Macaca fascicularis: one gene and its partner. The protein of the gene in region 1 interacts with the protein of each later gene in a pairwise test. Links are inferred from orthologs where the notes say so. Each region holds a gene or a part of one and is shown in the gene's direction. Other genes may lie near its edges.

Region 1 (3,805 bases):
CCATCGAGCGTGCCGCTTTCTTCGTGGCCCTGGATGAGGAGTCCTACCGCTATGACCCCGAAGACGAGGCCAGCCTCAGCCTCTATGGCAAGGCCCTGCTACATGGCAACTGCTACAACAGGTGCGGCTGCCCCCGCCCCACAGGTCACAGCTTAGGGTTAAAGGTTAGGGTTATGGTTAGAGGATTGAAGATAAAAGGTAGGTTGTGAGCTGGGTGCGGTGGCACACACCTGTGATCCTAGCAATTTGGGAGGCCGAGGCAGGTGGATCACTTGAGCACAGGAGCTCAAGACCAGCCTGGGCAATGTAGCAAGACCCTTTCTTAAAAGTAGTTAGGATTGTGATTAGTGGTTAGGTAGGGATAGTGGTTAGGATTAAAGGTTAGGGTTTGGGTTAGAGAGTAGGGTTAGAAGCCGGGCGTGTGGCAGGCACCTGTAATCCCAGCTAGTCAGGAGGCTGAGGCAGGAGAATCCCTTGAACCCGGGTGGTTACAGGGAGTCAAGATTACACCACTGCACTCCAGCCTGGGCAACAGAGCAAGACCCCATCTCAATTAAAAAAAGAGAGAGAGAGAGAAGAGAGAATAGGGTTGGTGTTAGGGTTAGTGTTAGGGTAACATCCGAGTTAGGGTTAAAGGTTGGGGTTGCAGGTCAGGCTTCTCTGGACATTCCCAGCTTTGGTTCTTCATGTGTCTACTCTCCCCGCAGGTGGTTTGACAAATCCTTCACTCTTATTTCCTTCAAGAATGGCCAGCTGGGTCTCAATGCAGAGCATGCGTGGGCAGATGCTCCCATCATTGGGCACCTCTGGGAGGTAATAGCCTTGCAGAGGGAACCTGCAGGGCAGGCTGGAGGGGATGAGGCCGGCCTCTCAGCCTCATCCTCTCCCTGCAGTTTGTCCTGGGCACAGACAGCTTCCACCTGGGCTACACGGAGACTGGGCACTGCCTGGGCAAACCGAACCCTGCGCTCCCACCTCCTACGCGGCTGCAGTGGGACATTCCAAAACAGGTGGGTTGGAAGCTCCCAGAGCAGGTGTGAGACCACAAAGCAGCAGGCGGGTACAACCCCAACAAGGCCTGAGTCCCCCTCCTCCTCCTCCTCCCCTGCTGGCCCCACCGCCTGACTCAGCCCTCGGGAAGGCACAGGGCACATCTCAGGATACCCGTAGAGTCCAAACTGGCTTCAGGGAGGACAGAGACCACCCACTGCCCCTGGGGCCATCTGTGTTTAGAGAAGGCCATGAGATGGGGGCGGCACTCACAGGCCCCTGGAGCATTTTCAGCACTTCCCTCTTCCCCACAAAGCTCAGCCCAGCCTCTGGGGGCTGATTCTCCCTCAGATTGTCTTTTGCATACCCTCCTCCTGAAGATGTCTTGGCCAGCTGTGCCCTTCCTCCACCAGCTAAATGTCATGCCTCCTAGACGTGACCCAGAGTCCTGCTTGGAGAGCCCTGCCCTCAGCTGACCCTTCCCATGTCTTGGCCGGCTGTGCCCTTCTTCCACCAGCTAAACTTCATGCCTCCTGGATGTGATCCAGAGTCCTGCTTGGAGAGCCCTGCCTGCAGCTGACCCTTCCCATGTCTTGGCAGTGCCAGGCGGTCATCGAGAGTTCCTACCAGGTGGCCAAGGCGCTGGCAGACGATGTGGAGCTGTACTGCTTCCAGTTCCTGCCCTTTGGCAAAGGCCTCATCAAGAAGTGCCGGACCAGCCCCGACGCCTTTGTGCAGATTGCACTGCAGCTGGCGCACTTCCGGGTAGGGCCCCACTCCCGCTGCTGAGAGGGCAGGGCGGTGCCAGGGTCTGCCTGCCAGATTCACCCCTCTGTATATCCCAGGACAGGGCGCACTGCAGCTGGCGCACTTCCGGGTAGGGCCCCACCTCCCGCTGCTGAGAGGGCAGGGCGGTGCCAGGGTCTGCCTGCCAGATTCACCCCTCTGTATATCCCAGGACAGGGGTAAGTTCTGCCTGACTTATGAGGCCTCAATGACCAGAATGTTCCGGGAGGGACGGACGGAGACTGTGCGTTCCTGTACCAGTGAGTCCACAGCCTTTGTGCAGGCTATGGTGGAGAAGTCCCACGCGGTGAGTGTCCTCTGCCCCGCATGGGGGCCACGGTCGTCTGCCTCCTGTCTACCTGGAGGGTCAGGGCTACTCTTCACCCCTTTACTTCTGCCCCACAGAAAGCAGACCTGCGAGATCTGTTCCAGAAAGCTGCTAAGAAGCACCAGAATATGTACCGCCTGGCCATGACCGGGGCAGGGATCGACAGGCACCTCTTCTGCCTTTACTTGGTCTCCAAGTACCTGGGAGTCAGCTCTCCTTTCCTCGCTGAGGTCAGCACCGTTGTTGGGTGTGTCCTTTGTCCCACTGCCCTCCTACACCCAGGGCTTGGGCCATCTCATGAGGGAGCACGGCCTGTGTTCTGTCTGGCTGGCTCCCCTGAAGCTCCCTGGAGGGCTGGGCCAGCTTTCCTGCCCACACCCCAGCTGGGCCTGCGGTCCTGGGCCCAGCGGGAGCAACATCCTCTTCGTGTCGTTGGTGTTCTTGTGACAGGGAACAGACAAACGTATGATCTGTCAGGTGGTGACAGCACTACTGAGACTAGTGAGGCTGTGGCGGGGAGAGGCAGAGCAGAGTGGGGGCCGGGCAGCTCACACAAGCCTTATGTGGCATGTGCAAAGGGGACCACGGGGTGGTGGCCAGGGAGCTCCTGCACCCTCAGCAGAACCGTGCCTGGCTCAGAGTACGTCGCAGACACCACCTGTCGGACAGGTGCTTTGGGCGTGTGGCATCTGACCGGCTGCGGCCTCCATTGCAGGTGCTCTCGGAACCCTGGCGTCTCTCCACCAGCCAGATCCCCCAATCCCAGATCCGCATGTTTGACCCAGAGCAGCACCCCAATCACCTGGGTGCTGGAGGTGGCTTTGGCCCTGTGAGTGCCCCTGAAGGGGGTGGGTGGGCAACACCAGGGCCCTGAGGGTTTCAGTGGCGAGTGCAGGCCCTGAGGTCAGACCAGAGGCAGGAGCACCTTGCTTAGAGCCTTGCTTAGAGGAGAGCATAACCCCAGACCTGCACAGAAGCAGAATGTTAGCTGTGGACTCAGGCAGCCAGGTGCCTGCGACCCACCCATCCCAAATACCTCCCTGCTGGAGCATGACGGTGCCTGGGGCTGTTTCCAGGGTACTGAGCAGTGCACTGGGTGCTTCTGAAGTCTGCTTATCCAAGAGAGTGCAGCTGTCTCCCACAGAAGCCTTCTCGTGGGCTAGTTTGTCAGAAGGCTAGAGAACCCTCTGGAGAGAGGCAGCGTGATCTAGAGTATAGGCCCCCTGAGGGAAACTGGGGGGTCCTAGATCCCTTGGTGGGGTCTGGGCAGCATTCTTTGGTTTTCACGGTTTCCTGGGGGTGGTCCTCAGGAAAAATGCAGTGTCTAGGGCTGGGGCCCGTTCCTGCAACTCTTGTGGGAAGAACAAGTTCCACATCAGCTTGGTTTTCGGATCTTCAGGGTTTGAGTTCTGCCCTTCTCCTTCACCCTTCGTGTTGCCCTTAGGTAGCAGATGATGGCTATGGAGTTTCCTACATGATCGCGGGTGAGAACACGATCTTCTTCCACATCTCCAGCAAGTTCTCAAGCTCAGAGACGGTGAGTCGGCCGGGCGCGGTGGCTCAAGCCTGTAATCCCAGCACTTTGGGAGGCCGAGACGGGCGGACCACGAGGTCAGGAGATCGAAACCATCCTGGCTAACACGGTGAAACCCCGTCTCTATTAAGAAATACAAAAAACTAGCCGGGCGAGGTGGCGGGCGC
Region 2 (4,274 bases), on another chromosome or scaffold:
GGAAACTGGCAATCATCTCTGTCTCCCGGTGATTTGGAACCTCAGTGTGAGTGACCCCACCTTGACGTTTAGTCCAGTCTGCTGGGGCCTGGTGCAGGAGCCTCATCCGAAGCAGTAGCCTCCTATAATTTCTATTTAGCAATTGTCTGACACTAAGGAAGAAGGTCATCTGGGATGGGCAGCCATCATTCTCTCTAGGACTCCTTCACAAGCTACAGGCTGTACTCATTGGCCCCTCACACTCCAACAAGCCTGGGTTTGCCCTGTGACCTCTGAGGTGGCGGCAGGGTATCTGCGGTGAAAATAAACACTCAGTGAGCGAGGAGCCTGGTGTCAGAAGTGCAGCCAGCCTCAGAGGGTTAAGGTGGAGGCCGGCTGGGCTGAGTCAGTAAAAGGAGTCTGAAGGGAAGGCCTGATCCCAGAGCAGTGGAGGACGGAGGGAGCCAGCCAGGAGAGGCAGCAGGAGAGAGGACAAGGGCAGAGAGTTTCAGGGAGGGGAATTTTCCATACACGTATGACCATGCTGCTGATGGTACAGCTCAGCGCTGACAGCAGCTGTCACCTGCTGGTGTGGTGGAACCGGTTCTAATGGGAGGCCTCTGCCTGCGTCAGCCAGCATCATTACCATGCCAGTCATTAGATATGTCTTTTTTCTTTTTTAAGGCACAGGATCTCGCTCCGTCACCTGGGCTGGGATGCAATGATGTGATCATAGCCCACTGTAGCCTTGAACTCTTGAGCTCAAGAAATCCTCCTCCTGGGTCTCAGCCTTCCCGGTAGCTGGGACTACAGGTATGCACCACCATGCCCAGCTAATTTTTGTTTTTTTTTTGTACAGACAGGGTCATACTACTTTGCCCAGGCTGGTCTTGAACTCCGGGGCTCGAGCAATCCTCCCACCTTGGCCTTCCAAAGTTCTGGGTTACAGGTATGAGCCACCATGCCCAGCCCCTCATTGAACATTTTTAATATGCCTCCTGGGTAAGAGAGAGTGCTGGAAAGCTTAGTATTGAAGCCAGACAGGGTTCAAATCCCAGATTCAGCTCTTATTAGTAGTGTGGCTTTGAGTAAGTCACTTATTCTCTGTGAGGCTCAGCGTGCCTGTGTGTAAACTGGTATACTAGTAGAACGGTACCTACCCAGAGTTGACGGATGATGGGAAGGATGCTACGCGCCTTTTCCTGCCCATAAGCTGTCACTAAATGTTAACCAATAACCCCTGGAGAAGCACACACACAACAGACTGAGTCTTCCTCTCCAACCATCTTCCTAATATAGGTTTTTTTTTTTTTTTTTTGAGATGGAGTTTCGCCCTTGTTGCCCAGGCTGGAGTGCAATGGTGCGACCTCGCCTCACCACAACCTCTGCTTCCCGGGTTCAAGCGATTCTCCTGCCTCAGCCTCCCAAGTAGCTGGGATTACAGGCACACACCACCACGCCCGGCTAATTTTGTATTGTTAGTAGAGACGGGGTTTCTCCATGTGGTCAGGCTAGTCTGGAACTCCTAACCTCAGATGATCCGCCCGCCTCAGACTCCCAAAGTGCTGTTATTACAGCGTGAGCCACTGTGCCTAGCTAAGCACAAGTAGGTGTATCGAACTCCTGACCTCAGGTGATTCCCCGACCTCAGCCTCCCAGAGTGCTGGGATTACAGGAGTGAGCCACCATGTCCAGCCTAAATTGGGGTCTTGAGACACCAGTATAGACAGAGAGGTGCCGGGAGGGGTCCCTTATAAACACTGTTCTAAATCAACATCTGCATCCCTTCTCATTTGTCAAAGTCACAACTCTCACTCCTGTGGCCCTGTGGCTGTACTTGCCCCTGTACACAAGCCTCCAGCCCTTTCCAGAACATTTGTCATTTTTTCCCTATGTACCGGCAAAGTTGGCAACAAACTGTCCCGTAGACTTAGCCCACCTGGAAGGCTGCTCCAGAAGCTCAAGACCCTTGCTCTACGGGTACCTGTGACATCACCAGTGGCCACAGTCCCTTGTGACCTCACCACTTGGACAACTCAGCCCAGCTGGGTTGCAGCCACTCCCTCCAACTGCCACAAATAGCAAAGGGCATAGATGACCCCAGGAGAGCCCTCGGGAGAGGCCGGCTCCACCAGCAGCCCCACACATGGCACTCCCGGGTCCCCCCTGGGCAGCGTGGCTGACAGCGTGTCTAAGGACAGCACAGCAGGAGGGCCCCAAGGTCAGGTCCCACTCACAACAGATGTCTTGGCGGTGAGCAGCTCTGCCGCATCCACCGACCAGCAGGATATAGATCAGGCCTCCCTCAAGACGGCCACCCCCGAGGCCATGTCAACATCTGGAGACAAAGACAAGGGTGCAGTTGTTCCAGAACATGGCCAGAAGACACCTGGAAAAATCACACCTCTGCTTCCCAGCCAAAACCCAAGTCCCCTGCAAACATCTATGAGCCTTGAGAATCCAACGTGGGACAGGCAGGTTCAAGACACAAGGACAAGTCAGAGTCTAGTGGTTTTCCCAAGTCACCTCTTGGGTAAGGACAAGACGTCACAAATGGCGAGTGTTCCTGAGAGAGAGCCGGAGTCAGCCCCCTTGGCCCCCAGTGCCGAGCCACAGTTCACCCAGCACACGGAGGCTCAGCCCGTCGGGAGTGATGCTGACCACGTCACCGCAGGTGTCAATGGCCAGCATGGCCCTCAGGCTGCCAGCACCACCAAGGCTGCTGAGGAGAAAGCTGAGCATCCAAAGGCCCCATACCCTGAAGCTGAAGCTTTGCCATCTGATGAGTCCCCAGTGGCAATGGGGGCAAATGTGGTGGATGGCTTAGGAGACCTGCAGGCTTGGTTCTTCCCTCCACCTCCAGCAGGCAGTGTGTCCCCATCACCTGGCCCCCACGAGGTGGCCCTGGGGAGGAGGCCCCTGGACCCCAGCCTGTACATGGCCAGTGAGGAGAATGGCTACATGTGCTCCATGACCAGTCTGCTGGGCAGGGGCGAGGGCTCCATCAGCTCCCTGGCAGACATCCTGGTGTGGTCCGAGACCACCATGGGCATGGCCATAGCCACAGGCTTCCTGGACTCCGGCCACAGCACCGTGGCAGATCTGCTGCACAGCTCGGGGCCCAGATTGCGCCCGGTCCCCAGCCTGCTGGGAAGCGTCAGCTCAGCCTTCTCCTCCGGGCTGATGTCAGGGACTGGCTCAGCCCTGCGCACCCTCACCCATGTGCTGGAGACAGTGGAGCAGAGGACGGTGGAGGGCATCCGCTCGGCCGTGCGCTACCTGACCAGCCACCTCACCCCACGCCGGTTCCAGGCTGACCCCAACTATGATTAGATCCCTGCACAGGGACCCCCGAAGCCCTGGCTCAGTGACCTCCAGAGATCCCTGGGACCCTCACACCCTGCTCCCTTGCCCATTCTTGCTCTGGACGGTTCCCCCAGCCCATGCAATAAATCACCAGCGAGCGTTTATTTCTAAGCACCAGCCTCCTCCCTTGGGATGCAGTGAGCAACAAAACAGTGACAGGACAGGAGGGCTCAGGGTGTGGTGGAAACAATGTCTCCTGAGGGTTTCTCAGGCTGTCCCATTCAGGGGCTGGGGGCAAATGTGCAGACACAGAAGAGCCTGGGCAGAGCTGGGGGCAGTGTGGTAGGGGGTATCTCAGACCTGCAAAAACCCATCCCCACTGAACCTCCACCCAGGTAAGCTCTGAGGAGCCTTCCCTGGGGCCTAGGCTGGCCCAGCAGGCTCAGGCTGAGAGGCACAAGAGGCTGTACCATTGACAGTGCTGAGTCAAGCCATGTGGGTTCAAACCCCAGCACCAGCACTTGCTCTGGGCGAATCACGTCACTCTCAGCCTACTTAGCTGTAGAAAGGAGAGAATAAATCCATACCGTGACGCTGTTATAAGACAGAAGGGAAGCGATGCAGGCCATAATGCATGGTGTCTGGCACTTGATAAGCCCACACATGGTGGCTGCCATTATCATTATCCTCCGATGAGCTGGGGGTGCAGGGGGAGCAGGAGTCTAAGCAAACCGACTGTCCCGGTTTGCCTCGGACTAAGGGGGTTTCTGGGTTGTAGGACTTTCATATTTAAAACTGGAAAACCCCAGGAAAACTAGGATGAGTTGCTCACCTTAGATCCAGGTCTCTTTACATGGTGGTTACTCTTGTCTGTGAAGATATGCATCTGGGAAAGCATTAGCAAGGCCCAGCCTTGAGTGCAGCGATGGTGCAGCCATCTGCTTCGGAAGCCGTTAGCCCACCCTCTGGCTAGACCCTGTGCAGCACCC

What was found.
Region 2: the proteins of CPT1B (region 1) and TEX44 interact in binary tests that used the Homo sapiens proteins (3 or more experiments, as listed by UniProt). The two-hybrid records come from large-scale screens. The link is inferred for Macaca fascicularis from reciprocal best matches to the Homo sapiens genes CPT1B and TEX44.

Annotation. Positions count from the first base shown.
Region 1 is NC_088384.1:988,850-992,654, forward strand, and holds part of CPT1B (carnitine O-palmitoyltransferase 1, muscle isoform), read left to right. Parts: coding exon 1-121; intron 122-707; coding exon 708-813; intron 814-893; coding exon 894-1,010; intron 1,011-1,507; exon of another isoform or gene 1,508-1,590; coding exon 1,591-1,755; exon of another isoform or gene 1,756-1,867; intron 1,868-1,948; coding exon 1,949-2,083; intron 2,084-2,181; coding exon 2,182-2,334; intron 2,335-2,819; coding exon 2,820-2,933; intron 2,934-3,548; coding exon 3,549-3,641; intron 3,642-3,805. UniProt on the Homo sapiens protein: Catalyzes the transfer of the acyl group of long-chain fatty acid-CoA conjugates onto carnitine, an essential step for the mitochondrial uptake of long-chain fatty acids and their subsequent beta-oxidation in the mitochondrion.
Region 2 is NC_088386.1:127,507,838-127,512,111, forward strand, and holds the start of TEX44 (testis-expressed protein 44), read left to right. Parts: upstream 1-1,285; 5' UTR 1,286-2,073; coding exon 2,074-3,312; 3' UTR 3,313-4,274.